Linked DNA regions of Elephas maximus indicus. The protein of the gene in region 3 purifies or fractionates together with the protein of the main gene of each other region. This does not show direct contact. Links are inferred from orthologs where the notes say so. Each region holds a gene or a part of one and is shown on either strand. Other genes may lie near its edges.

Region 1 (9,600 bases), on a different chromosome or scaffold from region 3:
CAACAGCGATGGCGAGCTGCTGGCTAGTGGGCGGGCCCTGAGGACTTAAACTGCCCCCCTCCCACCCTCCACCTGCAGCGCCCCGCCCCGCCCCGCCCCGCCCCTCCCCGCCGGGCCGCCAAGACCGTGGGAGGGCAGGGAACCGGAGGGCGGAATTTTCACCCGTCAACCTTTGGCCTCGAAACACACAACCCCTACAAAATAAAAATACTATTTCCCCTCCCCATTCAAACAAACAGAAAATTCTTAGCGAGGCACAGTTAAAAAAAAAAAAAAAGCTGTGAGCCTTTCTTAGATATACAAAACACTAATAATACATATACACAAAGCTCTTCCAGTTTAGAGGACTTTAGAGGCCCAAACAGCCAACAAAAACGTTCGAGTGAAGCACACACACACACACAGACACACAGACACACAGACACACACACACGGCCACCGCCCTGGAGCGCGCTTCTAACTCTCCTTGGCTTGGAACACTTATTCCCTACGCCTCTTCCTAGTGAACTCTCCCATCACTCCAGACCACCTGCTCTGTGCAGCCTTTCGCAGAATTACTCCCGCATCCCTCTTTTCCAAGGCGCTATGCACACACCCTGTTGTTGCATTTAACAACCTAGAGGGAGCTGCAAACAAGTAACAGCAGCAGCTAAGCGGCAGAGTGCCCTTTTAGGAAATACAGAGCCCACCGTTGCCAGGGTTTCTAATTTTTCAACCCAGTCTTTTATGTGAAATACCTTAATTTTAAAAAGGACAACTCTGGAGATGAGGTGGGGAGGAACTGAGTGCATAAAGGCATGTGTAAACTTTTTAGGTTGAGGGAACTCTTCTATATCTTGATTGTGGTGATGATTACACAATTATTTATCAGCAAAACTGAAAAAAGTGTACACTTTCATTGGTGAATTTTACTGTAAATACCTGGAAAAAAAAATGGTGGCAACCAATTCAAAATTGTCCTAACCTGGGCAGTCCAAACAAAACATACCTGTTAGTCAAATCTGGCCTGCAGGTTACCAGTTCACAGGCTCTGTGCTTACTCTAACTCCCTGTTTACCAATCTATCTCAGTCCTCCAGGCTGTCGAAGACCTGATACACTTCCTAGCAAAGTCTTGGCAAAGTAAATGTATCAGCTGTAGTCCTAGTCCTCCTGCCACTGACACTGTTAGATGTGCAGACTCAGAAGTTGCTAAACCTCTCAGCTTTTGTGGACTGTGTTTTTTGTAAAGGAAGGATTAACGTCTTTATGAGTCTGAAGTGAGGAATAACAGGGAAGATGCACTTGAGTGTATTAAAAATTTAAGATGTCATCATTTCAAGAATTCTCATGTCAATTGTCAAGGTTAACTCCATAAGTGATTGACAGATAAACAGGACGTCTGGAAAAGACAGGGTTAGAGAAAATGCAGTTGAGTGGTCCCATGAAAACCTTCATATTTTAAGTCCACTAAATCTGAAGCCTTGGTGGTGCGGTAGTCAGGAGTTCGGCTGCTAACTAAAAATTGTTCTGAATCTACCAGCTGCTCCTTGGAAACCCTATAGTGCATTTCTACCATGTCCTATAAAGTCGCTATGAGTCAGAATCAACTCTATGGCAACGTTTTTTTTTTTTTTTTAAATCAAGACAGTGATCTTCCGTACCTATTACATTACTAAAAATGTGCACTGCTAATGACTGTTAATTACCTCAGATTCCGAGATGATTTTGAGATGATATCCTCAGGTTTAGCACAGGACCCTGCTGAGTATGCTCAATAAATGTTTGTTGAATGACTAAATGATAAAGATGTGTGGCTGGTGATGATCAGGATGATGGTCACAATGAAGGTGACGTTGGGGTAAAAGGGGAAGGATGGCAAAAATGAACTGTTATTTGGAAGAAGCCTCTGGATCTTCTTCTTCCTTCAATTCAGGCACTTCTACTCTAAAATCTAATTCTGTATTTATGGCTTTGGCAGATTCTTCAGCGATTGCAAGGTCTGAGTGCTACTACTGCCTGAAAGTTCAACCTTTTCTTCTCAAAGTTTCTTCTCCTCCTCCTTACTAGACTTTGACTTAAGATTTGGACTTGGATTTGGACTCAGATTCTTCCTTAGAACCAGATTTTGTATCTGTTTCTTTTACCCGTACCACTTCTTTTTCATTATCTGAATCTTCCCCCTCTTCAACTCCTTTTGCTTTTATTTCTAAGGTTCTTCTGTACCACTTCATAGTATACAGAAATTTATTGAAATCTCTTTTAAAGGCCACACTTCTATCCAGGAAAGGATCCATCTCAATTGCAGCACCAGTGAGGTCTAAGGCCTGGCATAAGACAGCAGTTTCCTTAGATTCATTTTTAGTTTTGGTTGGAGGACTTGTCTTCTCCCTCATCTATGGGTGTAGACTCTCATTTATCACCAAAGTTTGAAACTTGAGCAGGTCACTGATTTGCCTGGATCTCAATGAATGTAAAGCCCATCCGTTGTGCAGAGTCTATGATTTTTTTTTCAACTTCATTAACTCTAGGAAAACATGCATCATTTACAACATTCTCCCAAAGTTTCCACCAAGCTTTATTAAGAGCCGCTGGTTTTATAACATCCATTTCTTCTTTTACAACTACCAAAGCATCGGCTATGTTGTTAATGTTGCCATATTTCTTTCAAAGTTTATGGAGAGGATTTTCTTCAATATAGTCAGCAAAATGGTCAAACATATGCTTGGCATAACACCTCCTGAAAGCTTCAATTACACCCTGATCCAAGGGCTAAAAAAGGCTAGTGAGGGGAGAAACACAGTATCAACATTCCAAAAAAAAACCAAACCCAGTGCCGTGGAGTCGATTCTGACTCATAGTGACCCTATAGGACAGAGTAGAACTGCCCCATAGAGTTTCCAAGGAGCACCTGGCAGACTTGAACTGCCGACCCTTTAGTTAGCAGCCGCAGAACTTAACCACTACTCCACCAGGGTTTCCACATATCAATATTCGGATGAGCAAAGTATATTGAGTCTGAGTGATTGGGACCTCTGTAGCAACACACTGAATTCGAGATTTTTTTTTCTGTTAAATAACTTTGGGCTTGATGGACAAAACAATTATGAAACCAATCCAAAAAGAAGACAGTGGTTACCGATACTTTGGGGCATGATCACCAGAGAACAGGAGGGCGTTTTTTAAATCTTTTTCTTTAAGACAAGTGAGATTAGGGTCTTTGTAAAGTAGCAATGGGTTGTATCGTTTTGTCACCTGAGGCACTGGCACAAAAAATAAAGAAAATCATGTCCTTAGCTTCCTCTAAGCTTTCTGCATTTTTTTTTTTTTCCCCTCTGAAAGTACTCAATGGCTCGCACTTCTAAAACAAGCTTATGTCCTCAGCGTTGAAGACCTGTTGAAGCACACAGCCTCTAGCTCTGAGCAGTCTCTGGAGTTGCTTGGGATACTTGGGTGCCTACTCAGCATTCAGCAATTCTTCCTTCCCCATCACCCTAGCATTCTGCAAACAGTTGCGATTTTAAAACTTCTCAAACCATCCCTTGCTCACATGAAATTTCTCTTGGTTGCCATTCCCCATGGTTTCCACCAGCTGCTGGTAAATGCGTTTGGCCTGGTTGCAGATGGCCTTCAAAGTCAGATGACGTCCTCCTATGGTCTGGTCCTCAACCCAAAAGGTTAATTCAGTGTCCATCTTCTCCATGCTTATACCCCAGGGTACGCACAGCACCTTGGAGCAAATGGGTGAAACACCCACCATGCTGGCACTAAATGGCCTTCTCGTTTTTCTTAATGGTGCTCACCGTAAAATTACTAACGCCAAAAAGGCGCCCGACATCGGTCTTACTCACGCCTTCGTCCACCTTATATAAAATTTCCATCTTGTTTTCCAGGGGTACGATCCTCTGCCTCCACTTGTTACGTGTCTGGGGCGGGATGGTGATTTCACCCCCTGCCTCCACTCCACTTGGTGTTACCTCAGCTGCTGCGGAAGCCGCAGCGGCCTCCACAGCTGCCGGTCTCGCCGCTGCCGAGAGCCTGGACAGCGCCCGAGAGGCTGTTTAACCTTCGGTTCGTCCCCATCCTCACCACTCCGCTTGCGGGGCATTTTTGCGAGTCTTCGCTTTCTGTGGTAAAAACCCGAGAAGACTGGAAAGTCAGATGACGTGCCCAAATGAGCAGTGTCCAAGATGCCAACAGACCGAGCCCCACAACCACCGGCAGCCGCTGACTCGGCACTAACAGACAGAGTCTCGCGATGCTTGGCAGCCCCCTAACGCGCGCAGGCCGCCAGCTCCGCATTCCGATTGGTGCGGCCTAGCGGTTCTCAATCACAGCCGACGAGACGAGACGCGAGGCTGCGCCACGCAGATCTCGCGAGGCTGGGAGAAACGCCCTGGGAGCCCGAACGGCGGGCGGCGGGTCGAAGAGCCCCGTCAGGGGGGTTAAGATGGCGGCCCAGGTGCTGGCGCTGCTGCGGGAGGTGTCGCGGTTAGAAGCGCCGTTGGAGGAGCTTCGCGCGCTTCATTCGGTGCTGCAGGCTGTGCCGCTCAGCGAGCTCCGAGAACAGGTGGCGGAGATGCACCTCGGTCCGCTTTTCTCCCTGTTCAACCAGAACCATCGGTGAGAGGATCCTGAAGCTTGAGCGGGGAGTGACACTCCCAAGCCTAGGGAAGAAGTGAATGGGGAAAGGGGAGTGAGTTTCTCAGTCGCAGGGGAGCTAGAAAATAGCCGGAATTTCAGAGGGCTAAGGACCCTGGGCTAGAGAGGCAAGACACAGAGGTTCTAGTTCAGCCTCTGAGGTGTGTCCACGAGCTAGCTTACTCTTGTGGTTTGGTCTCCCTGCTCTCATCAAATAGAAATTGGAGGAGCAAAGCAGTGGTTGACCACCTACAGGGAGGACTCCACAACCACGTATATAGGTCCCTGACATTTTTCCTTCTCTTAAAAATGCATCCCATCCTGGCAACTTGGCAAGACCGTCCACATTTTTTTATTTGTATTTTATTGTGCTGTAGGTGAAAGTTTTCAGCGCAAATTAGTTTCTCATTCAAAAATTTATACACAGATTATTCTGTGCCATTGCTTGCAATGCCCCCAATTTTCAGCACTCCCCCCCCACCCCGTTCCCTCTGTTCTTGTGTCCATTTTTCCTGTCCCTTCCTGCCTTCTCATCTTTGCTTTTGGGCATATGTTGCCCATTTGATCTCATATACTTGCGTGAACTAAGAAGCACTTTCCTCAAGTGTGTTATTGTTTTATAGGCCTGTCTAGTCTTTGGCTGAAAGGTGGACTTGGGGCGTGACTTCAGCTCTGAGTTGGCAGGGTTTTTGGAGGCCGTAGTCTCGGGGTTTCATCCAGTCTCTCAGACCAATATGTCTGGTCTTTTTTTATGAATTTGAATTTTGCTCTACATTTTTCACTCGCTCTATCCAAGACCCTCTATTGTGATGCCTGTCAGAGCAGTTGGTGGTGGTAGCCGGGCAGCATCTAGTTCTTCTGGGCTCAGGCTGGTAGAGGTTGTGGTTCATATGGTCCAATAGGCCTTCGAACTAATATTTTCATTGTGTCTTCGGTTTTCTTCATTCTCTTTTGCGCCAAACGGGGTGGGACCAGTAGATGTATCTTAGGTGGCTGCTTACAAGCTTTTAAGACCCCAGGCACTACTCACCAAAGTAGGATGTAGAGCATTTTCTTTATGAACTATGTTATGCCGATTGACTTAGATGTCCCCTGAGACCATGGTCCTCACTCCCAGTAACTCAAGCCCTCAAGGTGTTTGGATGTGTCTACCAAGCTTTTATGACTTTGCCTTGGTCAAGTTGTGCTAACTTTCCCTATATTGTGTGTTATGTTTCCCTTCATCAAAGTTAACAGTCTCTCCTATCTATTTGGAAACCGTGGTGGCGTAGTGGTTAAGTGCTATGGCTGCTAACCAAGAGGTTGACAGTTCGAATCCACCAGACCCTCCTGGAAACTCTATGGGAAGGTTCTGCTCTGTCCTTTAGGGTTGCTATGAGTCAGAATCAGCTCGACAGCAACAAGTTTTTTTTTTTCCTATCTAGTTACTGATTTCCCCTCTCCTTCACCATAACCATCAAAGATTGTTTTTTTCTTTGTGTAAACCTTTTCTTGAATTTTTATAATCGTGGTCTCATACAATGTTTGCCGTTCTGTGATTGACTTACTTCACTCAACATAATGCCCTCCAGATTCATCCATGTTGTGAGATGTTTCATGGATTCTTTAACATCGAGTGGTATTCCATTGTGTGTATGTGTCATAATTTATTTATCCACTCATCTGTTGACAGGCACTTAGATTGTTTCCATCTTTTTGCTATCGTGAATAGTGCTGCAATGAACATGGGTGTATATGTATCTATTTGTATGATGGCCTTTATTTCTCTAGGATAATATTCCCAAGAGTGGGATTGCTGGGGGTCATATGGTATTTCTATTTCTACCTTTTTAAGGAGGCACCGTATCATTTTCCATAGTGGTTGTACCATTTTACATTCCCACCAGCAGTGTATAAGAGTTCCAGTCTCCCCAAATTCTCTCCACTATTTGTTACTTTCGTTTTTTTTGATAAGTGCCAGTAATGTGAGGGTAAGGTGGTATCTTGTAGTTTTTGCATTTCTCTAAGAGCTAATGATTGCAAGCATTTCCTCATGTGTCTGTTAGCTGCCTGAATGTCTTCTTTGGTGAAGTGTCTCTCATATCCTTTGCCCATTTTTTAACTGGATTAGTTGTCTTTTTGTTGTTGAGTTATTGAAGTATTCTATAGATTTTAGAGATTAGACCCTTGTTGGATATGCCATAGCCAAAATTTTTTTCTTTTTACTCTTTTGGTGAAATCTTTTGATGAGCATAAGTGTTTAATTTTTAGGAGCTCCCAGTTGTCTGGTTTATCTTCTGGTGTTTGTCCATTGTTAGTTATGGTTTGTATCGTATTTATGCCATGTATTAGGGCCCCTAGCGTTATCCCTGTATTTTCTTCCGTGATCTTTATCGTTTTGAATTTTATATTTAGGCCTTTGGTCCATTTTGAGTTAGTTTTTGTATATGGTATAAGTTATGGTTCCTGCTTCATTTTTTTACAGATAGACATCCAGTTTTGCAAGCACCACTTGTTAAAAACAATGTCTTTTCCCTATTTACTGGACTTTTTGGACCTTTGTCAAAGATCACCTGACCATAAGTGGATGGATTTACATCTGGATTCCCAATTTTGTTCCGTTGGTCTATGTGTCTGTCATCGTACCATTACCAGACTGTTTTGACTACCATGGCTGTATAGCAGATTTTGAGATCAGGTAGTATGAGGCCTCCTACTTGTTCTTTTTCTTCAGTAATACTTTGCTTACTTGGGGCCTCTTTCCTTTCCATGTAAAGTTGGTGATTAATTTTTCTATCTCTTAAAGAGTGCTGTCGATATTTGGATCGGGATTGCATTATACCTGTGGATCACTTTGTGTAGAATTAAAACATTTTCTCAATGTTGAGTCTTCCTATCCGTGAGCCTGGTTTGTTCTTCTATTTATGTAGATCTCTTTTGGTTTCTTGCAGTAGGGCTTTGTAGTTTTTTGTATAGCTTTTTTACATCCCTGGTTAGAATTATTCCTATGCATTTCATCTTGCCAGGGGCTATTATAAATGGTATTATTTTCCTGATTTCCTTTTCGAAGTTCTCTTTCTTGGTGTATAGGAATCCAACTGATTTCTATATGTTAATCTTGTATCCTGCTACTCTGCTGAATCTGTTAGTTCCAGTAGTTTCCTTGTGGAATCTTTGAGATTGTCCATCAACATTCTATTTATTTTTTTGAATCAACTGTGTATTTTATTGTGCTTTAAGTGAAAGTTTACAATTCTAAGTTAGTCTCTCATACAAAAACTTATATATGCCTTTTGCTATGTACTCCTAGCTGCTCTCCCCCTAAAGAGACAACACACTCCTCCTCTCCACCCTGTATTCCCTGTGTCCATTCAATCAGTTCCTGTCCCCCTCTGCCTTTTCATCTCGCCTCCAGACCAGAGCTGCCCACATAGTCCCATGTGTCTACTTGAGCTAAGAAACTCACTCCTCACCAGTATTATTTTCTGTCTTAAAATCCAGTCCAAACCCTGTCTGAAGAGTTGGCTTTGGGAATGGTTCCAGTCTTGGGCTAACAGAAGGTCCAGGGACCATGACCTCCAGGGTCCTTCCAGTCTCAGGCAGACCATTAAGTCTGATCTTTTTATGAGAATTTGAGGTCTGCATCCTGCTGATCTCCTGCTCCAGGAGGGATTCTCTGTTGTGTTCCCTGTCAGAGCAGTCATCAGTTGTAGCCAGGCACCATCCAGCTCTTCCCATCTCAGGCTGATGTAGGCTCTAGTCTATGTGGCCTTTTCCGTCTCTTGGGCTCTTATTGACCTTGTGTCTTTTGTGTTCTTCATTCTCCTTTGCTCCAGGTGGGTTGAGACCAATTGATGCATCTTAGATGGCCACTTGCTAGCGTTAAAGACCCCAGACAAGGATGGCAATTTTTTTTTTTTTAATGTCTTCAAACAATAACAACTTATTATCTTACAATAGTTCAGGTTAGAAGTCCAGTGTGAGTCTCACGGGGCTAAAATCAAGGTGTCAGCAGGGCTGAGGGTGGCAATTTTTACTTGTCATTGTATACATATCTGTAGTGTTTGAGTTTTAAACCAAAACCAAACCCACTGCCGTTGAGTCGATTCCGACTCACAGCGACCCTATAGGACAGAGTAGAACTGCCCCGTAGAGTTGCCAAGGAGCGCCTGGTGGATTCGAACTGCCGACCTTTTGGTTAGCAGCTGTAGCACTTAACCACTGTGCCACCAGGGTTTCCTTTAAAATGTTTACAAACTAGTATTTCAAAATGACGTATTATTCACCCATAAAGAGAAATGAAGTTCTAATGCATGCTAGACATGGATGAATCTTGAAATGTCAGACACAAAAGGACAAGTATTGTATGATCCCACTTACATGAAGTATCTAGAATAGCCAAAATGCATAGAGACAAAAGGATATTAGTGGTTACCAAGAGCTGGGGGGAGAGGGAAATGGAAGGTTATTGTTTGAGGGGTGCTGAGTTTCTACTTGGAATGATGAAAAACTTTTGGAAATAGATAATGGTGATGGTTGCACAAGAGGTGGATGTAATTAACGTCACTGGATTGTACACTTACGATGGTTTAAACGGAAAATTTTTCGTTATATACATTTTACTACAATCAAAGGAAAAAATCTTTTTACTTGAAAAAATAATCACTGGACCAACACTGGATTATTTCGGAGGACCTTCTTGGCTCTGACCTTCTAAAATTCCTTCCTTTTTCATACTTGTTCCCCCTTCATTAAAATACATATTAGTTACATTCTTTCAGGCTTTATGCTCTCTTTAATTCAGGCCCTCAGTTTCCCTTTTGCTGGGTCTGTTGCATTAGTCTGACTTCTCATTACCTCTTGGCTTCCTATTCTAGAGTATCCTTCACACACTGCAATCATAGTAATCTTTTTAGGTCACTTGGCTCAAATCTTTCCCATAGCTTACCATTGCTAAGGTATAAAATGCTTACTTAACGTGGCATTTGGGCTTTGACAAGTA
Region 2 (9,600 bases), on a different chromosome or scaffold from region 3:
TCTCACTGAACAGAAAAAAGATGCTTTCCAGGTTACACCCTGAGAAAAACTGGTTTATAAGTTGTGTGCTTGTTTACTAACAAGCTCCCATGAAAAAATAACAAAAACTCCGAACACTAAATTTGCCTATCTTTCAATTAAAAATGTGTATTTCAAAGCCCACTGTATCTTGTAACACTGCAGCAAGAACACCTGGGAAATTGTCTGCATAATGACACACTCGGATCTCAGAAGAACAGAAGGGTAACAGTTGTTTTTCTCTTAACTGCCTTCCCCTGTGCCTCGGTGCGAGGCATTAAAATACACCAGTTTGAGATTTCAAGTACAGGTAGTATATTTAGAATTCATATTTTCCTTCTCCAAATTTCCTGATGCAGCTGCCACCTTGTCTGGTCTGTCCTAAATGAACAGAAATGTACAGAGAGAAAACACACACTGGAACTTCCAGAGGGCAGAAAGCTTTCACTGATGTAACCCAAGTGCCAAGTCAGTGTCTGGCCAAGCCAAAAAGGCATTTGAAAAAATAATTTGCTCAAAGAAGGCTGCATTCTGCCTCCACTACTCTATCAAATTACGCACTAACCTCTGAGTCTCAGTGTCATCACTTTGACCGTGGAGGCAACTCAAAGAGTACTTGTTATCCCAGGACTGATTCTAAGTCTCCAAATTTAAGAGCATGGGGGGAAAAAAGATGCCATAATATAGAAATGCTGACTAATGAGTTATTTTCATCTTTGTCCATGAGGTCTCTGTGATAAGTCTCAGGCAAAACAATGCAACTGAAATGCAAACTCAGAAGTGACTTAACAACTGCTGCAAGAGAAGCACAATTTCCCGAGGCTGATGAAAATGATACCGGATTATTCATTTTTTTAGGTTTGATAATGGTATTGGAACTGTGGGTTTTTTTTTTTTTTAAGCCCTTTCTCTTAGAGACACACAGTGGAAACACTGACGAATGAAGTAATACGCTTCACAATAATGAAGGGAGATGATGGAAGAACATGACTGGTCATGAATTTGTAACTGTTGAAGATGGGTGATGGGTACACAGGGGTAGGGTTCATTACTATGTCTTCTTTTGTATATGTTTGATATTTTCTATAACAAAGGTTTAAAGCAAACAAATGTTTCAATAAATATTTAAAAATTGTACAAATCAAAATCAGATATATCCGTTGACAAATGAGATTGTGGCAGAAGCTCTCAGTTAACTCATGAAAACTAACATGGTGTTCAGAAGTGGTTAACTGATAGAGGCCTCAAATATTTTGAAAATGCTACATAAGTACGACCAAACTCATTGCTGTCGAGTCAATTCCAACTCATAGAGGACCCACAGGACAGAGCAGAACTGCCCCACAGGGTTTCCAAGGAGTGGCTGATGGACTTGAACTGATGACCACTGCGCAACGAGGGCTCCATAAGTATGACAGTCCTACCAAATAAATAAACAATAAAGGATACTTTACTGTGATGTTATAAAACTTTGTCAGAAACATCCATGTCCCCCAAAACTGCTTATGTGTTCCCTCCCCCCATGGAAAATCAACTTGCCCACTACAAAGACATTTTGGTTCCCATTTTAAGTGCGGTCACTTCTGAACATCTTCATCTACCACTTCTCCTACCTGGTTATCACTGATGAATGTGATAATTTGTCAATTTGGTCACTATAAGTTGGGGGCCAACTAGACAGCAGCTAACAACCACCTTGACTAAACTTTCATTTCTGGTGGTTGTATAATCTAATCAAATACATCACGTGGTTTCAGCTGGGGTAATCCAACTTCTGCCAGGAAGGGTACATGATGTTCTCAGTAACAGACAACTGAGGTTTCCTTCTATAAGGGATCAACAGTTTAGTTAGCTAAGGAGATGATTCTCAGTGTAACATAGTCAGGTCACTGCAAAGCGGCATCAAGTACATTTTACTGTAACAAAACCAGGATTTAAATTTGCTTCATATGACACCAAATCCACACACACATTTACAAAAATCAAAATTCTGTTTAAGAAAGAACGGAAAAGAGAAGTGAGCGCGGGTGGGGTAAGCTTCTAGGAAACAGTCGCCCATTCACTCCTTCTCCCTCCCCTTTCCTCACTTCCTCCAGGCCAGTTTAAAGGGACACCGAGCCAGAAAGGCCCTCGGGGCCATTTAAGCCCAGGAACTTTTTAAACAGTTTGCTGCTCTGATGCCTGGAGCAGGCTTCTCTTATCAAAAAAATATTAATAAAAAAAAAATCAATGCAGTTTTCATCTGCCCGAGAAGCCCACTTTTTTGTTTAACATTTTGTTTTTATAAGCAGTCCGATGCTAAAATTTAAAAGGTTGAAAAACTAAGTCTAACATCCTCCATCCAAATGAAGAACCTAAAGCTACGAGAGGCCGAGGGTAAGCACTACAAGCGGATGAGGTTATCGGCAAAAAGCCAGGTAGATGACTGAGGTCTTCAGGCTAGATTTCACTGCCTCTTGTGAAAAGTCCGGAAAGGCAGGAGGAGAAAAGCTGAGTTCCCTTCATTCTTACTCGGGCCATACAAGCTATCTACTGACACCTTTCACTGAAGGTACCCAAGAGCTGTTTCCACTGCCCTTTTCCGAAAACCACTAATTTACGCCTCCCTTCTCTCATTTATTTCCTCCCTTCTTGAAGACTGGCCCTGTGACATACTACATCACAAAATCGCTCTTGAACAGGCAGTTTTAATCCTTTAAACTGGCTTGCAAAACAGCTTGTATTACATTACAGGGCCAATTTTTATAACACACAGAAATAACCTTTCTTAACAGAGATGATAGACAGACTTCACATCTCAAGATGGATTGAAACAATTACGTTAACTACCGAAATGCGGTGAAAAGTCAAAAGAGGCGGAGGGAGGGCCAATGCAGATTAAGAGTGTCTCCCAACTCAAAACTCAGCTCCACCCAGACCCGTGACACCCAGCTTAAGGGGCACGTCTCCGGCTGTGGATCCAATTCCAGGGCCTGTAAGCAGCATTTACACCCTGGTCTTCTTTAGGAAAGTTCTTGATCTATGCAAGTATTTCCAGTACTTTACAAACTGTTCAAACAGTCCTTGTAGAAAAATACACTCTGGATTACTTGAGGCTTTACAGGATATAAAAATAAAATCACAGAACACTCGGGCAGGAAGGGTTCTCAGGAATTATTTAGTCCAACCCCCTCGTTACACTTATAAGAAACTGTAATACAGGCTTAAGGAGCTTCCCCGCAGTGGAGGAGCGAGTGGCAGAAACCAGATTTTATTTACGTCACTATGTTTCCATCTTTCTATAAAGTCCTAAATATGATACCTATGGTCACACGTTTTGGCATCGTTAGATACACACTTATGCAGCACGCAGGTCTTAAAGCACAGCAAGCACGTCTGTAAACAGGTCACCTTAACATATGACTTACGAGAAAAACACACAACCAAGATCACAACTTGCCCCAAAATGTCACATACTGCAATCCCAGGAACCAGCTTGCAGCATTTCACCACTGCTCCAAAATAAAGCTCTACCTGATGGCATTTCCTGCTGGTTATTTAGACACACATGACTAAAGGGCTCATCACCATTAAGCCATCTAACTGCAATCCTGCCCTAAACACACAGGGGTGTTCCACTGTAGCCCTTTCTAGTAAAAGCTCCTCTTATCAAATAAGGCCAACAACAACAAAACCCTAGGTGCTAATTTACCAAACCCGGTAACAATAAAGATTTCAGACAACAATGCCTTACTGTGCAGAGCCTTTGTAGGTTCCAGGTTCAAAAATCCAAGCCAGATATGCTTCACACATTGGCCTATTTATACACACAAATCTGAAACCAGCTGTTTGTGTCCACAAAAACTGTACTCTCTGGCAGACCTAACGCAAGTGATGAAAACGGGCGTTTACTGCAACTGCCTCTTTTTAGTGTGCCTGAGGACCAAACAGCTAGGGAGCTCACATGAAAACCATCATTTGATTTTAATCATTTACTCATCTTCCCCTTTTGATGAAAAGCAGTTCTCTGCCTGCTGGAGTCCTTTCTTTCCAAGTTTCCTCCGGATCCTAACGCCACAAACTTTTTTACACTCTAAGTTAAAGAGGAGGGTTGTTAACCTCGACATCTTATGGTCACCTTTTGTAGAGGACAAATTAAGTGCTTCAGTTTTGCTTCTTTTTATTTAAAAAGGTTAATTACTCCCAGTCCTCCCCTAAAAGGCAACAAATTTGTCAGAGAGCCCCTAATAACTGGCAGGTAAGGGCCATCCCATGTGACAAAATGGAAAGATGATGAATGCATTACAAAACGCTGAGTCATCACTCAGCACACTCAGCAGATTTGGGTAAACACTGTCCAAGTGACTTCTGTCTTGTGTGCGTTTGCCCGTCTGTATCCACAGGCATCGACCTACAAAGTTAGCAGGACTTCGTGTACAGTTTATCAAACAGGACACCGCAAGATTCTTTTTTAAAAAGTTCTTCCAACACAGTGAAGATGCACTTCTAGCAAATAAAGTCTCTAACCTTTTCCCCCCACTATCTATTTTTACTCTCCCCCCCCACCCCAATTTCAGGGACACTATAGTTTGGACCTAGTTTACTAAAAACAAATCAACAAAATAGAACTCTTGAAACTCACTTAGGCAATCCAGGTTCCTCAGAATGACCCAAAAACTGACACAAAACTAAAACACAATTTGAAAAAAAAGGGGGGGGGCGGTGGGAAAGAAAACTGACAGAGCCTGATGCTAAGAAAGCACTGGACAGGGCTCTTCCTTGTCTTCCTTAGTATTATAAAGGTCTTTTCAAAGGAAATGTCAACAACGGCGGAACGTACAGTTTTCCCGGGTTCGAGACTCAACACTAACTCAGCTGTCGGTTCTAGTCTACAGCCAGTGCACTGCCCAAGGATGGGCTGAGGGATGATTCCACAGAGACTGAGCAGGCCCAGAAAAGAAGAACCCAGAACTTTCCTTCCGGTCTCCTTCGCATTCAGAAACCGCGGGCAGAAAAGTTACTAGATGGGAATTGAGGGATGTGAGGAGGTGAGTACCTTGGGGGAAAGAGAACCTGAGGAAGCTCGGGGGAAGCCAAGAGGTCCCTCCCCTGAAGACGAGTTGTGTCTGTACAGCCCCAAACCGGCCATGGGCAACGGTCCACGGAGGACTCTTGGGGCCAGTCAGGTGCCCCCGGCTCCCCAGAGCCCTGTGGGTCGGAAGACAACAACCCAAACCCTTGGGGGAGGAGCGGAGGGCGGAGGAGCTCGGAGAACCATGGAAGTCCCGCAGGAAAGTGGCAGGGAAGAGGCAAGGGGGCTTCCCAGGTTTCTGCAGCGGCTCTGGCTGGTGCCACAGCACCGGGACCACCGGCTCGAAACGCAGCCGAGCGCGGGGTCCAGGCGTCCCGGACAAAGGGGCGCCGCCGGCCGCCCTTGCCCTCGGTGCCGTCCCCGTCCCCGTCCCGCAGGCCTGGCACTTACGCCGAGAGTTTCCTGGTCCAGAAGAGGCCCCCGGGCCACAGCTCCTGCAGCTGCACCGCCCGGCCCAGGTTGTTTTTGATCTGGGCCAGCTGCAGGTCGGACTCGGCGTCCAGTCGCTCGGCGTAGGGCAGCAGCTTGTTGTAGACGATCTCCTTCTGCGGGACGAAGGCCCGCGGGCCCGGCTCGGGGCGCCCGCCCGGCTCCGGGGGGTCCCCGCCGCCCGCCAGCGCGACCGGCTCCATGAGCCCCGGGCCACCCCCGCCCCCTCCCGCCCGCGCCCGCCCCGGCCCCCGCCCCTTGCGGGCTCCGCCTCCTCCGCGTCGTCGTCGCCCTCGGCCCGACCGCTGGGCCCCCTCCCCTGGCCGGCGCGCTGACCTCCGCGCGGTCCCCGGTTCGTTGGTGGCGGCAGCGGCCGCTCCGCCCGCCCCACACCGGCTCGGCTGGTGACGCTGCAGTCGCCGGGCCGGGAGGTTCCGGAAGGGCCTCAAGTCACTTCCGGGGCGGGGCGCGGTTTGGGGCGTGGCCACGATGGGCGGGGCGGGGCGGGGCCGCGGCGGCGGCGGGAGCGGGAGCCCAGGGCGCCGAGCCTCGGTGGCCGCCGCCCGGGCGCCGAGCCCTCACCCCGGGCCTCACAGCCGAGCCTCAGGCCGGCCCGCCCGCCGGAAACGCGAGGCCGAATTCCGGGCTATTGTCCTGCCTCGCTGGGGTCGCGCGCTCCCTGCCCTCGGCAGCCCGAGTCGCCGTGCCTGCGGCAGGGGCGAGGACCTCCCGGTTCTGGGCTTCGAGGATTGACGGAAAAGCCTCGGTGCCTTGCGTGCATCCCGCTTGCTAAACTTAGAGATTTTTATTCTGTCCCCTCCAAGCCCCCGTCTTTCTGGAATTCTCCCGGCCGCCATCAGCCCAAAGAAAAACAATGGTTATTCATTCACCAAATAGTAATTGAATCAGTATAAGAGCACCTGCCTTCTGCCCTGCAGGGACTTTGAAATGGGGATGCGGACTAGTGACTGAGCAATTCAGAGACAGAGCTTTTAATGGCTGTGTAAGTGCAGGGTGCCTCGGGAACTCCAGGACCACAAACTGGAGGGATATCAGGTGGGTTCCTGGGAGTGAAACTTAATAGGTAGGAATTGAATATACAGGGAGCACTCTAGGAATTCAGAGAAGTTCAGGATGGCTGAAGATGGCTCGCAAGAAAGGAGAGTGTGGAAATGAGACTGACAAAAGCCCGAGGGGGTTTACATCTTTATCCTAAGGGCAACAGGAAAGGAAAGATTTTACGCATAGGAGTGGCAGGATAGGATTCGCATTTTAGAAGAATCACTGGCTTTGCTTGGGTTGGACAATGTTGGAACTGGAGGACTGGTTAAAAAACTGTGCAGTCATGTGGACGACAGAGGAATGGCCTCGTTGTCAGGTGAAATGTTTTGAGAGCTATTTCAGGAAGTAGAATGGTTGAGGCTTGGTAGTTGATTGAACATGAAGCGTGAAAGAGGGAAGAGACAGGAGGATGACAGATGTCTGGCTTGGGGGACTGTGTAGTGAAGCCCTTTGTTGAGAGCACGCCAGAGCAGAACAGGTTTGGAGGCAGAAATAGCAAAATGCTTTTGGGATGGTTACATATTTTGAGATATGGATCAGCAGGATGATCTAAACTGTAATATGGATTACCACACAAGTGGATAGGAGGGGATGAGATATCGTTGTTAGGTTCCGACTCACAGCGACCCTGTGTACAACAGAAGGAAACACTGCCCAGTCCTGCACCATCCTCATGATCCTTGTTATGCCTGAGCCCATTGTTGCAGCCACTGTGTCAATCCATCTTGTTGAGGGTCTTCCTCTTTTTCACTGACCCTCCACTTTACCAGACATGATGTCCTTCTGCAGGGACTGGTCCGTCCTGATAACTGGTCCAAAGTATATGAGACAAAATCTTGCCATCCTCGCTTCTAAGGAGCATTCTGGCTCTACTTCTTCCCAGACCGATTTGTTCATTCGTTTGGCAATCCATGGTATATTCAACATTCTTCCCCAACACCATAACTCAAAGATGTCAATTCTTCTTCAGTCTTTCTTATTCATTGTCCAGCTTTCGCACGCATATGAGGTGATTGAAAACATCGTAGCTTGGGTCAGGCACACCTTAGTTCTTTAAGTGACGTCTTTGCCTTTTTAACACCTTAAAGAGGTCTTTTGCAGCAGATTTGCCCAATGCAATGCGTCCTTTGGTTTCTTGACTGCTGTTTCCATAGGTGTCGATTGTTGATCCAAGTACAATTAAATCCTTGACGACTTTAATCTTTTCTCCATTTATCATGATGTTGCTTATTGGTTCAGTTGTGAGGGTTTTTGTTTTCTTTATGTTGAGGTGCAATCCATACTGAAGGCTGTAGTCTTTGATCTTCATCAGTAAGTGCTTCAAGTCCTCCTCACTTTCAGCAAGCAAGATTGTGTCGTCTGCATAACGCAGGTTGTTAATGAGTCTTCCTCCAATCATGATGCCCTATTCGTCATATAGTCCAGTTTTTTGAATTATTTGCCCAGCATACAGATTGAATAAGTATGATGAAAGGATACAACCCTGATACATACCTTTCCTGACTTTAAACCATGCAGTATCTTCTCGTTCTATTCAAACGACTGCACAATTGAGTGTTCTGGAATTCCCATTCTTTGCAATGTGATCCATAATTTGTTATGATCCACACAGTCAAATGCCTTTGCATGGTCAATAAAACACAGGTAGACATCTTTCTGGTATTTTCAGCTTTCAGCTGGGATCCATCTGACATCAGCAATGATATCCCTGGTTCCATGTCCACTTCTAAATATGGCTTGAATTTCTTGCGTTTTCTTGTCTATACACTGCTGCAGCCGCTTTTGAATGATCTTCAGCAAAATTTTACTTGCATGTGATATTAATGATATTGTTCGATAATTTCCACATTTGGTTGAATCATGTTTCTTTGGGATAGGCATAAATATATATCTCTTTCAGTAAGTTGGCCAGGTAGCTGTCTTCAAATTTCTTGGCATAGATGAGTGAGCACCTCCAGCATTGCATCCATGTGTGGAAACATCTCAGTTGGTATTCCGTCAATTTCTGGAGCCTTGTTTTCCACCAATATCTTCAGTGCAGCTTGAACGTCTTCCTTCAGTACCATTGGTTCTTGATCATATGCTACCTCTTGAAATGATTGAATGTTGACCAATTCATTTTGGTACCATGACTGCATGTTCCTTCCATTCTCTTTTGAAGCTTCCTTCATTGTTCAGTATTTTGCTCGTAGAAATCCTTCAGTATTGAAACTTGAGGCTTGAGTTTCTTCTTCAGTTCTTCCAGCTTGAGAAATGAAAGTGTGTTCTTCCCTTTTGACTTTCTATCTCCAGGTCTTTGCGTATGTCATTATAATACTTTACTTTGTCTTCTCGAATCACTCTTTGAAGTCTTTTGTTCAGCTCTTTTACTTCATCAGTCCTTCCATTCGCTTTAGCTACTTGACCTTCAAGAGCAAGTTTCAGTGTCTCTTCTGACATCCATTTTGGTCTTGTGTTTCTTGTCTTTTTAATGACCTCTTGTTTCTTCATGTATGGTGTTCTTCCACACCTCATCTGGTCTTCGGTCATTAGTGTTCAACGTGTCAAATCTATTCTTGAGAAATGGCTTCTAAATTCAGGCAGGATATACTCAAGGCTGTACTTTGGCTCTTGTGGACTTGTTCTCATCAGCTTCTACTCGAACTTGCCTATGAGCCATTGATGGTGTGTTTCACATATGAATTGATGAGATACAGCATATGAAAAGAATAGGGTCCTTGCCAGACTTTGAGGAACTCCACCATTTAAAGATGGGCAGAGGAAGAGGAGATAAACCACAAAAAATATTCAAAAGGAGCAGTCAGATAAGCTAGGAGAGTGGGCGTCACTGAAACCAGAGAGTGTTTGAGATGGAGGAAGTGATCAACAATGCCAAACTTGACTGACAGGCCAAATGAAATAAAATCTGAGAAGGGGACTTATTGATAAATCAGACAAGAGCAGTTTCAGTAGTGTGCAGGAATTGAAGCCAGATTACAGTGACAAAGCATGAACAGGAAGTGAATAGAATCAGCAAAAGT
Region 3 (9,600 bases):
GCACAGTGGTGCACTGCTGCTGAGAGAACATGCTAACCAGTACATGCCCCGGGAGAGCCACTGCCTCGGCAAATGCTGAGACCCCAGCCATTACCGCTGGCATCCCCACCACTACCTCCACATCAGCCATCCTGTCCTGTCCATTCCATACACGCAAGGAATACTCCCACCACATGCGGACAAAAACCTACCTCCAGGAGGGCCTTGATAACAAGTTTAACGGCCAGGTCGTCTGTCTCAATGGCTTCATCCGTATAGTTCTTCTCCAGGAATTCACGCACTGACTTCGCCCCCCGGCCGATGGCATTGGCCTGAAAAAACATGTTCCATGCAGCACAAGGCATGCAGCCCACAACCCCCTGAGTGGCCAGCAACTGCCCTGCTCCCCGGGCCCACTCTGCCTGGGGTCCAGGGAGCTACAGCGGCAGGGCAGGGGTGGGCTGGGCCCAGGACCTGCTCTATGGGTCCCTCCTGTGAAAGCTCTTAGAGTTGGTGCTCACCCTTACCAAGAAACAGATTATACTTTCATTTCATTCCCAAAGACACCTGGGAGCTTTTAACTGTTCTATTTCTCAAACCTCACCATCCTTTGACTTCCTCCCAAATGTCTCTGCTCCTGTATGGTTAGAGCTGTCTTAAAATGTCTCTGCCCCCGTATGGTTAGAGCTGTCTTAGAACACTCACGTTCCATGTGTACGTGCACCTTAATGTGCACGTTAAGATTAGGCTAATTTTAACTGGCACCAAGGATCACTGATTCAGGCCCAATCCCTGTCGGCGGTACCCAAAGTCCCTTTATCTAGAAAGAAAGGCTGCCAGACTCACCTTCCAGGCATGGTATGTGCCTGAGGGGTCGGTCTGATACAGTCGGGGAGTGCCGTCAAAGTCAAAGCCCACGATGAGGGCAGAGATTCCAAAAGGTCTGCGCCCATTGCTCTGCGTGTAGCGCTGCCAAGAAATGAAACAAGTCAGCGCCACCTTCCTTCAGCCTTGGCACTGGCACAAGGCCCCAAAGCTAGCCACAGGAATTACCAACGACACCCCAAACAACTATGGTCTATCTCGGAAATTCCAGGGAAGAACGGAAGTATTTTAAATTGCTCAGCCCACTCTCAGGTTACTTGCAATTCCGATTATGAATGAAACTAGCCCACAGCTTTCAGCATTCCTCTCTGCGTATCCGTCACCCTCAGGAAGACCCGCCTGTGACCAGAACCACATCATGGAGCATAACAGAGGATCTCTGGAGTCACTCTGATGGAAACAGATGGGCTCAGCCTGCTGAGGGGTGGCTTTCCGCCCCTCCCACGTGCCTGGTGCCATTTCCCCACGCCACCAAACGAGAGCAGGAGACCACCATAGCGAACTGACGTGTACCACTGAGAATCAGGACTACCCCGGTGCTCTGACTGCCTCACGAGTAACACGGGACACTTTCCACAGCAGGCCGATGCCCCATGCTGGAGCCGTGCACCCAGGCAGTGCACACCTGCTTCAGACTGGCAATATAGCGGGTGATGTACTCCACGGTGACCGGGTCCTCCACTGTCAGCCGGTGGCTCTGGCACTCCACTCGGGCCCTGTTGATGACGATCCTTGCATCAGCGGTGAGGCCTGCAATGACAGCAGAGCAGAGCTTCCACCTGAGCCACACGTGCCCAGTCCAGTGAGGACGACACTCGGGATGCAAGCAGGACAGCAGTGGCCCTCTGGCATGGATCTCAGACTAGTCCCACGCAGCCAAGCACGGAGGCCACCTGAACGACTGCCCGCGCTTAGCCACACTAGGTTATTCCCTTGGGAATTCTGTCACGAGGCTGGTCAACCCCTTATTCAGGTCATGAGAGGCAAGATGAAGAGAGCTAACCCGCACCACGTGCTCAGTGGCCCTGCCCTCTCACCTTACAACAGCGTGTGCAGCCCAAGAAAGCCTGCCCTTATATCACAACAGAACAGAAAAATGGCCATGAAGGGACACGGCACAGCAGCCACATCCTGGAAGTGCTGCAGAGGTATCCTGTGACACTCTGGCCAATCCTTTAAAATCCCACACCCATTTCTTGTTATGGATTGAACTGGGTCCACCCCAAAATATGTGTTGTAAATCCTAACCCTGTAGATGCGACCCCATTTGGGAACAGGGTTTTCTGTTATGTCAGCGAGGCCATGCCAACACAGGGTGTGTCTTCAGCAGTCAATTTTGAGATGTAAAGAGCAGATGGGGCACAGACAGAACAGAGATGACCAGGGACCACTAGAAAAGCTGCGACAAGGATTTCTCCCAGAGCAGACAGGGAAAGCTGTCCCCTAGAGCTGGTGGCACCCTGATTGCAAACTCCCAGCCTCCTGAACTGTGAGAAAATAAATTTCTGTTCATTAAAGCTACCCACTTGTGGTATATACGTTACACCAACACTCATCAATGGCTCTTGTTGACCAGTTGACACGTCCCCCAACAGCCTTTCCCCCCCGCCGCTGCCCTTAGAAGTTCTGTTCTTTGCTGGACCTCAAGGAACAAAGCCCTGTCCTGAGACTGGTACCTGCAAACGCCATGCAGACATTGTCATCCAAAGCACAGATCTTCCGCACCGTTCTCTCATCCTGCAGTTTGGCCACAGATTTCTTTTCCACTCCAAGAACAACAATTTCTCTTCCTCGTACGCCAACCTTCAATAAAAATCAACAAACCGCTTAATACAGTGACTGAGGTTCTGCCACCAGGCGAAGCAGCAGCCCTCACCTCACCAGGTGTGCCAGGCACAGCCTGCCCTCCTCCATGTGCCCGCCACTACAGTCAGCAACACACCCTGCCAACCCTGGGTATCGGCTCTTTATTGGCAGAACTAGCTGAAAGTGAAGAGGACTTGAAGCCCTTACTGATGAGGAGCAGAAGGTACAGCCTTCCGGATGGATTACACTTTAACACAAAGAAGACAAAAATCCTCACAACTGGACCAGTAAGAAACATCACAATAAAGGGGGAAAAGACTGAAGTTGTCAAGGATTTTATTTTACTTGGATCCACAATCAACACCCATGGAAGCAGCAGTCAGGAAATCAAAAGACGCATTGTATTGGGCAAATCGGATGCAAAGACCTCTTCAAAGTGTTAAAAATCAAAGAGGTCACTTTGAGGACTAAGGTGCGCCTGATCCAAGTCATGGTGTTTTCAATCGCCTCATACGGATCCAAAAGCTGGACAATGAATAAGGAAGACGGAAGAAGAACTGATGCCCTTGAATTATGGTGTTGGCAAAGAATAACGAATATACCGTGGACTGCCAGGAGGCAGAACAGATCTGTCTTAGAGAAAGTACAGCCAGAGTGCTCCTCGGAAGCGAGGATGGCAAGAGTTCATTTCACTTACATTGGACATATTATCAGAAAGGACCAGCCCCTGGACAGGGACATCGTGTTTGGTAAAGTAGAGATCAGTGAGAAAGAGGATGACTCTCAATGAGATGGACTGACTCAGTGGCTGCAACAGTGAGCTCAAACAAAGCAGTGATCGCAAGGATGTCGGAGGACCGAGTAGTGTTTTGTTCTGTTGCACATGGGGTCGCTATGAGTCAGGATGGACTCGACAGCACCTAAACAGAGGTTATCCAGGTACTCTAACCTAAAATGCCCGACGCCATGCTTTTAAAATACTGAGAGTTCAATCATAACGTAACTAAATTACTATATAATTAGCATATGCGTTATTTAAATCTAATGAGTTAAACAGTTGCCCTTAATGTCGTTGGGTGCCATCAAGTCAATTCTGACTTATAGTGACCCCATGAGACAGAGTAGACTTGCCCCATAGTTTCCTAGGCTGTGATCTTTACAGGAGCAGATTGCCAGATCTCTCTCCTGTGCAACCGCTGGTGGGTTCAAGCCACTACCTCTTGGATAGCCGCTGAGCGTTTAACCATCATACCACAAGTGCTCCTTAACAGTGAAGTTAGGTATTCTGAAACGAACGTTTCTAAGTTGTGAAATTACGAACAACCCATTGTGCCTGTCCCAGCAGTGCCGTGTGCTAATGCACCTGGCTGTGTGAGGACTTGCCATTGGGGACAAAGGTGTCAGCTGTTGTTGGGAGGGTAGACAGGAGATGATGTGGCCATTGTTCCAAAGAGAGAACCTCAGTTCCGTCCCCACTGAGACAGAAGCAAACACAACGGGACAACTCTCAGAGAGATAACAGCCCTGGTTATTTCTGAGCGGAGCCTCCCAACACCCAGCACTGCTGACGCTCTGGCTAGATGACTCTGTGGGCAGCTGTGCGGGCACTGTAGGGAGATTAGCAGCACCCCTGGCCTCTACCCACTGGATGATAGTACCCCTCCACCTCCTTAAAAATTTAGATACCAAAAATGTGTCTTAAAATTGCCAAATGCCTCCGGAGGAAAAAGTGCCCCCAGTTCAGAACTACCTGACCACTCCCAGAGAAATGGACTGGTTTGCAGGAGCTAAGCCAACAGGTAAGATTTGGGGCCTTCATTTCTAAACAGCTAAAACTTCAAGAAATGAAAAGGAAACGCATAGCACCGCACGGGTTGCCTCTGCTCTGCAGCTCCAACCTCCCCAGTGCTGGGCTTGAAGTGAAAAACTGGCAGAGAATTTGCAGTGACAAACGGACGGCAGCGTCACGTGCTGTCTCTAAGCTCCCTGCACATCAAAACGGCCCTGTGTGGTGTGAGCTGAGGCCCAGCGTGGTGTAAGCTGAGGCGCGGGCTGACTCAGATTGGGTCGGGCTTCTGTGGCCTAATGGTCAGATCCAGGGACGCACCTGCCCAGGCCCTGCATTGCTGACACTGGGAGCCAGCAGCTTTTTGTTCTCCAAGCCCACCAGGTCCTTTGGAGACAACTCATTTCCCTAGTGGAGGAGACCCCCATAACTCGGAGCTGGCTGAGTATCGTTGCTCCAGCGCACCAAGGAAGCCTGCAGGAGCCAGCCCTGAGAGCCCATCTGCGCCCCTGCAGTGCGTGGGCCAGCCACACCCCCGCCGCAGTCCCGCCCAGTGCAATGGTGACCACGCCAAGATGGCCGTCACACTGCCAGCATCGCGCGGGGCTCAGGGGGGCACTCCGCTGCAATGAAAGATAAGCAACCCTCCTTAAGTTTCCACCCCCTTCCCGGAACTCCGCTGTTTGTGAAAACGCCTGTCAAAAACCGTGGGCAAACATCTGCCGATATTTCTTTCAGTTACCAACGCTGTACGTCCCCGGCCTACTCAACCTCTGAGAAATAAACAAGCCGCTCAGTCCTGGCTCGCTCTCCACCCAAACAGCAGAAAGCCACTGACACCGCAGGCCCAAGGCCTCAAATCACAAACGCGGTTCCTCCTCCGTTTTCCTTTCGAACAGCGGCGTCGTTGCTTCCGTGCGCTCCACTCCTACCACTAAAACAACCTAAAACCAAACCCACTGCTCTCGAGTCGATTCCGACTCATAGCGACTCTATAGGACAGAGTAGAACTGCCCCATTGAGTTTCCAAGGAGCACCTGGTGGACTTGAACTGCCGACCTTTTGGTTAGCAGCCGTAGCAATTAACCACTACGCCACTATGCTCAGTTAAAACAGCGAGCCCACCACACACGCCCCCGAATACAAAGAGGGATCAGCACAGCGGCTCGACCAAAGCAGGGCAGCGAAGGCAGAGCTGCCGCGCCGCGCCAAGGTTTAAGGCGCGTACCGGGGAAAGCGCCGCCGCCCGCACGAGAACGCGCCGCTTCCCGAGCCCCCAGCACCCGCCGCCGCGCCCCGGACCACCGCACCCGCCGCGCCTGCCTCCAGGACGCAGGCAGCGGGACACACGGCAGCTTCCCGAGCACCACCCTTCCGGGACCCCGGCACAGCCCGAAGCGCAGCCCTCCCCGGGAATCCTCCCTGCGCTCCCCCGTAGGCTTCCTGGGATCCCCCAGCCCCATCCCGGCGGGCTCCGGGCGCGCACGCCCCGGGAAATTCCCGGCCCACGGCTCGGCCCACTGACCCTCCCCGCGGGTTTCGGGGCGCACACCTGCCGTCGACCCCGGCCCAGGGCGCGGCCCTGCTCGTTCTCCCTTCGGGGTCCGGGGCACGCACCCTCCGCGAAAACCGCCAGGAGCCCCGGCCCCCGCGCGGCCCACTTCCGCCTCGATCCCCGGGCTCGCGCAGGCCTCGACCCGGCCGGTCTTACCGCGGTGGAGCCCTTCTTTACGGCCTCCTGTGCGTACTCCACTTGGAAGAGGTGGCCGTCGGGCGAGAAGACGGTGATAGCGCGGTCGTAGCTCATGGCCGGGCCTGGCACGGCCTGCTCCGGAGACTGCCCGCTGCGCCCCAGCAGGTAGGGGAGACCGCCCGCGCGCGTCCTCAAAAGCGCACACTCATGCGCCGCTGCGGCCGACGCACCACGCCGGGCTACGGCCTACGCTGCCGACGCATGGCTACGCCGCCGACGGAAGCCTACGACTGCGCTGCTCGGCTGACCCGCCGACGGAGGCTTACGGCGCCATCGCACGGCTACGCTGCCGACGGAGGCCTACGCTGCTGGCGTAAGGCGTGGGAGGGCGTCCGGAGCGCACCACGGCGGGCGCGGGGGAGCGCGGCGAGAGCGGCGACGGCGGGTGCGGCGCGCGGGACAGGCGGCGGAGCGCACGGCGCGGGGCGCTGAGATAGGATCGGCGGCGCGCGGGGCGGTGGACGGGCAGGCCGGGGTACGAGGCGGAGGCGGCGGCCCGGGCGAGCCCACCGCGCGGCGCCCCCCGCCCGCCCCGCCCCCACCGCTGCGGAGACAGAGCGTCCTCGGACGCCGCGCGCGGCCAGAGAATAAGCCCCATGAGCCAGGGCTGAACCTCTGCCACCATGTCCGTGGCCTTCGCGTCCGCCCGACCGAGAGGCAAAGGCGAGGTCACGCAGCAGACCATCCAGAAGGTGGGCCGCGGGCCGGGGCGGGCGCGGGGGGCGCAGGGCCGGAACAAAGCGCGGGCGCTGCCGCACCGAGGCCGCCCCCCGCGCCCCTCGCAACGCTCTCGGGTGCGACCGCCGAGGCGCGCCGCCTGCGCCAACTTTGTGGGGGGCGCGCCGGCCCGGGTGGGTGCGGGGGTGCCCGGTTCCCCAGGACGCAGCCGGTGTCCGCGGTGCTTGCCGGAGCCAGCCCGGGTCATGCCGGGGACAGGGTGCCGGGGACAGGGTGCCGCCGCCCGCGGGGCTGGGGACAGGGTGTCTCGGGGCCGGGCAGGAGCAGGGCTGATCGCGCTCGGTTGCAACCTGGGTGGCGAAGCGGCGGCGGCCACTTGCTTCTGCTCGCACGTTGGCGAGTGGAGAGGGGCCGGGTGGGCCTGGGGTGCATGGCTGGGGCGGCACGCAGCCTTTTCACAAAGGTGCTGACGCTTGGAGCCAGGAAGGGTCGGAGCAAAGTGTGGGGATCTCGTCCCCGAAGCCCCGCGCGTGAAGTCCACTTGCTCACCAGTGCGCCACCACCTCGTACTCGCATGTAACATTCTTTTTAGCGTGACACCCTGGCCTGCTTTTTCAGCTAACAGAAACTTTGTAGATTTGCCTCACAGCGTTCCTTCTCGTTTTACAAGCTTGGCACTGCAGTTTTCTAGGGATATCATTGATCTAGGCTTAGGAACGTGTTTAACAAATGCTTTTTAGACAAAAGCCTGTAGTTTTGAAAGGGAGACTTGGGATGTCTTATTGTTTCTTATTAGAAGACTCGCTCAGAAGGGAATCCGAGGCAGGCATTCCGCTTTAATCTCCACAACGTCATTTGTAGCTACATCGTTTTCTTTTCTGAACTTTTGATTCCGTTATCATTCTTCCTGCGGGTTCCCAGGAGCGTCCAATTTTCCTTCGGGGTGCACTTTGCTGACTGTGCCCTGTGTTCTTTGGTAATCTGCTGGGTCCTCGTGGAGGTGGCCCTCAGTCTGTGACTTGTCGTCGTATAAACGTTACTACATTAGCTGGCGTTAGGTGTTCAATGATTTTAACAAACAAGGAGCCTCAGCAGATTGAGAAGCAGTAGAAATGCAGATCTCAGAGTGTGGCGTTTTAATTGTGTAATAAACATTACTGTAGTGCTTATTGCGTACCAGCCAGGTTCTAACAGTTGTCCAAGTCTTTATTCGTTCTGTTCTTCCAGGTGCTTACTATCTCTTCTGCTTTATAGGTAAGGAAGCTGAGGCATAGAGAGGTTAAGTGCCTGCCTGGTAAGTTGTAGAGCTGGGAGTCGAACCCACACAGTGGAGCTCCAGGGCCCTCTCCAACCATGACACTGACCTTGGGACACTTGGCTAGGCAGAGGGCTGGGCATGTTTTGGCAGTTGAGAGGGGCTCCTGGCACCCTGGTTTTGGGGAGCTTATCTCTGATAAGCACAATCGTCATTCCATCTTTGGCTTCCTGCCCCCCAACTTCTCCAGGCAAGCATGTGTGTTAGTGCGGCCACCCCCAAACACAGTGGTCAGAAAGAGGAGAGCCTACCTTCAGACCCTCAAAAATGGGCTGGCAGCTGGCTTGACCTGTCCAGTCGGCAGTCCACATCCTCCTGCCTGTGCGTTTTGACAGTGAGTCCGTGCCCCCAGAGCTGTTTTACTGGGTTGCCTGGGGGGGTGTGACAGTCTGTGCCTTGCATTCAGAGTGTGGTGTTTGCAATGTGTGGTCGTAGGTATGCGTTGGGGGCGTTGAGGAAAACCAAGGGTGGTGGCGAAGAAGCAGGAGGTGTACGCCTTGTTCTCAGAGCGTATCTGTCGGTGGGATTCTGTTAGGCAAAGTCCTATGCCACCTTCAAGGCCCTACTCAGATGCCTTCTCTCTCTTTGGTTGGCATATGGCCAATATAGCAGTTTGACCCATAGCTTGAGCTCCTGGGCTACTTTCTGTTTGCAGTCTCCTGAGCTCCTGGGCAGGGTGAGGGCTCAGGACATACTAAGGGTGGATGACACTGGCTTTGTCAGTGGGAGTGCTTTTGTTAAGTGGGTGTGTGCGTTTTGGGGGTGTTCGAGACAAGAAACAAATGAAAAGAGGGTCTAGAAGTTTGAGGGAGTCATGGGTCGTCTCATGCAGGGACTGCGTGGAGCAGTCCAGAAAGGCAGGAAAGGCTGGCCTGCCCTGGGGACCTGGGCCCCGTGCTGAGGACATGGTGCAGGGGGAGAAGCAATCAGAAAGTGCTTGGGTGAGAACTGCTGAGCTCGGGGTGCCACTTTGGTGGGCCTTAGCAAATCCAGCAGCCCCTGCACTCAGCTGCCTGGCTGAGTGGCTGGGACCTGTCCTCTGCGCCTCCCCTGCGTCTTGGGACCAGTGTGTCCTGTTGACCAGCACTGCACTCTGGGGAGGGCAGCAGTGTGGCCAGGTGTGGGCATGTAGGAAAGGGCCCTGGGCACGAAGCTCCTCTGGCCTGCTTGGTGCTTCCCTGCTGCTCAGCACACAGTAGTTGCTCAATAAATGCAGCCATTGTTGTTACACTTTGTATGGCATTCTTGATTGTAGGCTGGGGATGAGGTCTTGTCCCTCTGCGTCCCAGCAGCACATGCAGGGCGAGATCGGTACACAGCCCCGGGAGGGGGGGGACGAGGTGGGGACCTGGGGCTGTTTGCCAGTGAGGAGCTGCAGGGGTGGCGCCGTCAGGCTGC

What was found. Proteins that work in one complex are often made in the same cells at the same time.
Region 1: the proteins of PSMA7 (region 3) and PSMD5 fractionate together in Homo sapiens (co-fractionation; 3 studies listed by BioGRID). This does not show direct contact. The link is inferred for Elephas maximus indicus from reciprocal best matches to the Homo sapiens genes PSMA7 and PSMD5.
Region 2: the proteins of PSMA7 (region 3) and PSME4 purify together in Homo sapiens (affinity purification with mass spectrometry; 4 studies listed by BioGRID and IntAct, with this or other methods). This does not show direct contact. The link is inferred for Elephas maximus indicus from reciprocal best matches to the Homo sapiens genes PSMA7 and PSME4.

The regions. Positions count from the first base shown.
Region 1 is NC_064827.1:70,762,958-70,772,557, reverse strand, and holds the start of PSMD5 (26S proteasome non-ATPase regulatory subunit 5), read left to right. Parts: upstream 1-4,349; 5' UTR 4,350-4,428; coding exon 4,429-4,601; intron 4,602-9,600. UniProt on the Homo sapiens protein: Acts as a chaperone during the assembly of the 26S proteasome, specifically of the base subcomplex of the PA700/19S regulatory complex (RC).
Region 2 is NC_064844.1:8,229,956-8,239,555, reverse strand, and holds the start of PSME4 (proteasome activator complex subunit 4), read right to left. Parts: upstream 5,734-9,600; 5' UTR 5,722-5,733; coding exon 5,480-5,721; intron 1-5,479. UniProt on the Homo sapiens protein: Associated component of the proteasome that specifically recognizes acetylated histones and promotes ATP- and ubiquitin-independent degradation of core histones during spermatogenesis and DNA damage response.
Region 3 is NC_064843.1:5,783,528-5,793,127, reverse strand, and holds the start of PSMA7 (proteasome subunit alpha type-7), read right to left. Parts: upstream 6,393-9,600; 5' UTR 6,264-6,392; coding exon 6,168-6,263; intron 2,668-6,167; coding exon 2,541-2,667; intron 1,615-2,540; coding exon 1,490-1,614; intron 949-1,489; coding exon 826-948; intron 312-825; coding exon 192-311; intron 1-191. Other genes in the region: SS18L1 (calcium-responsive transactivator), read left to right, coding at 6,833-6,901.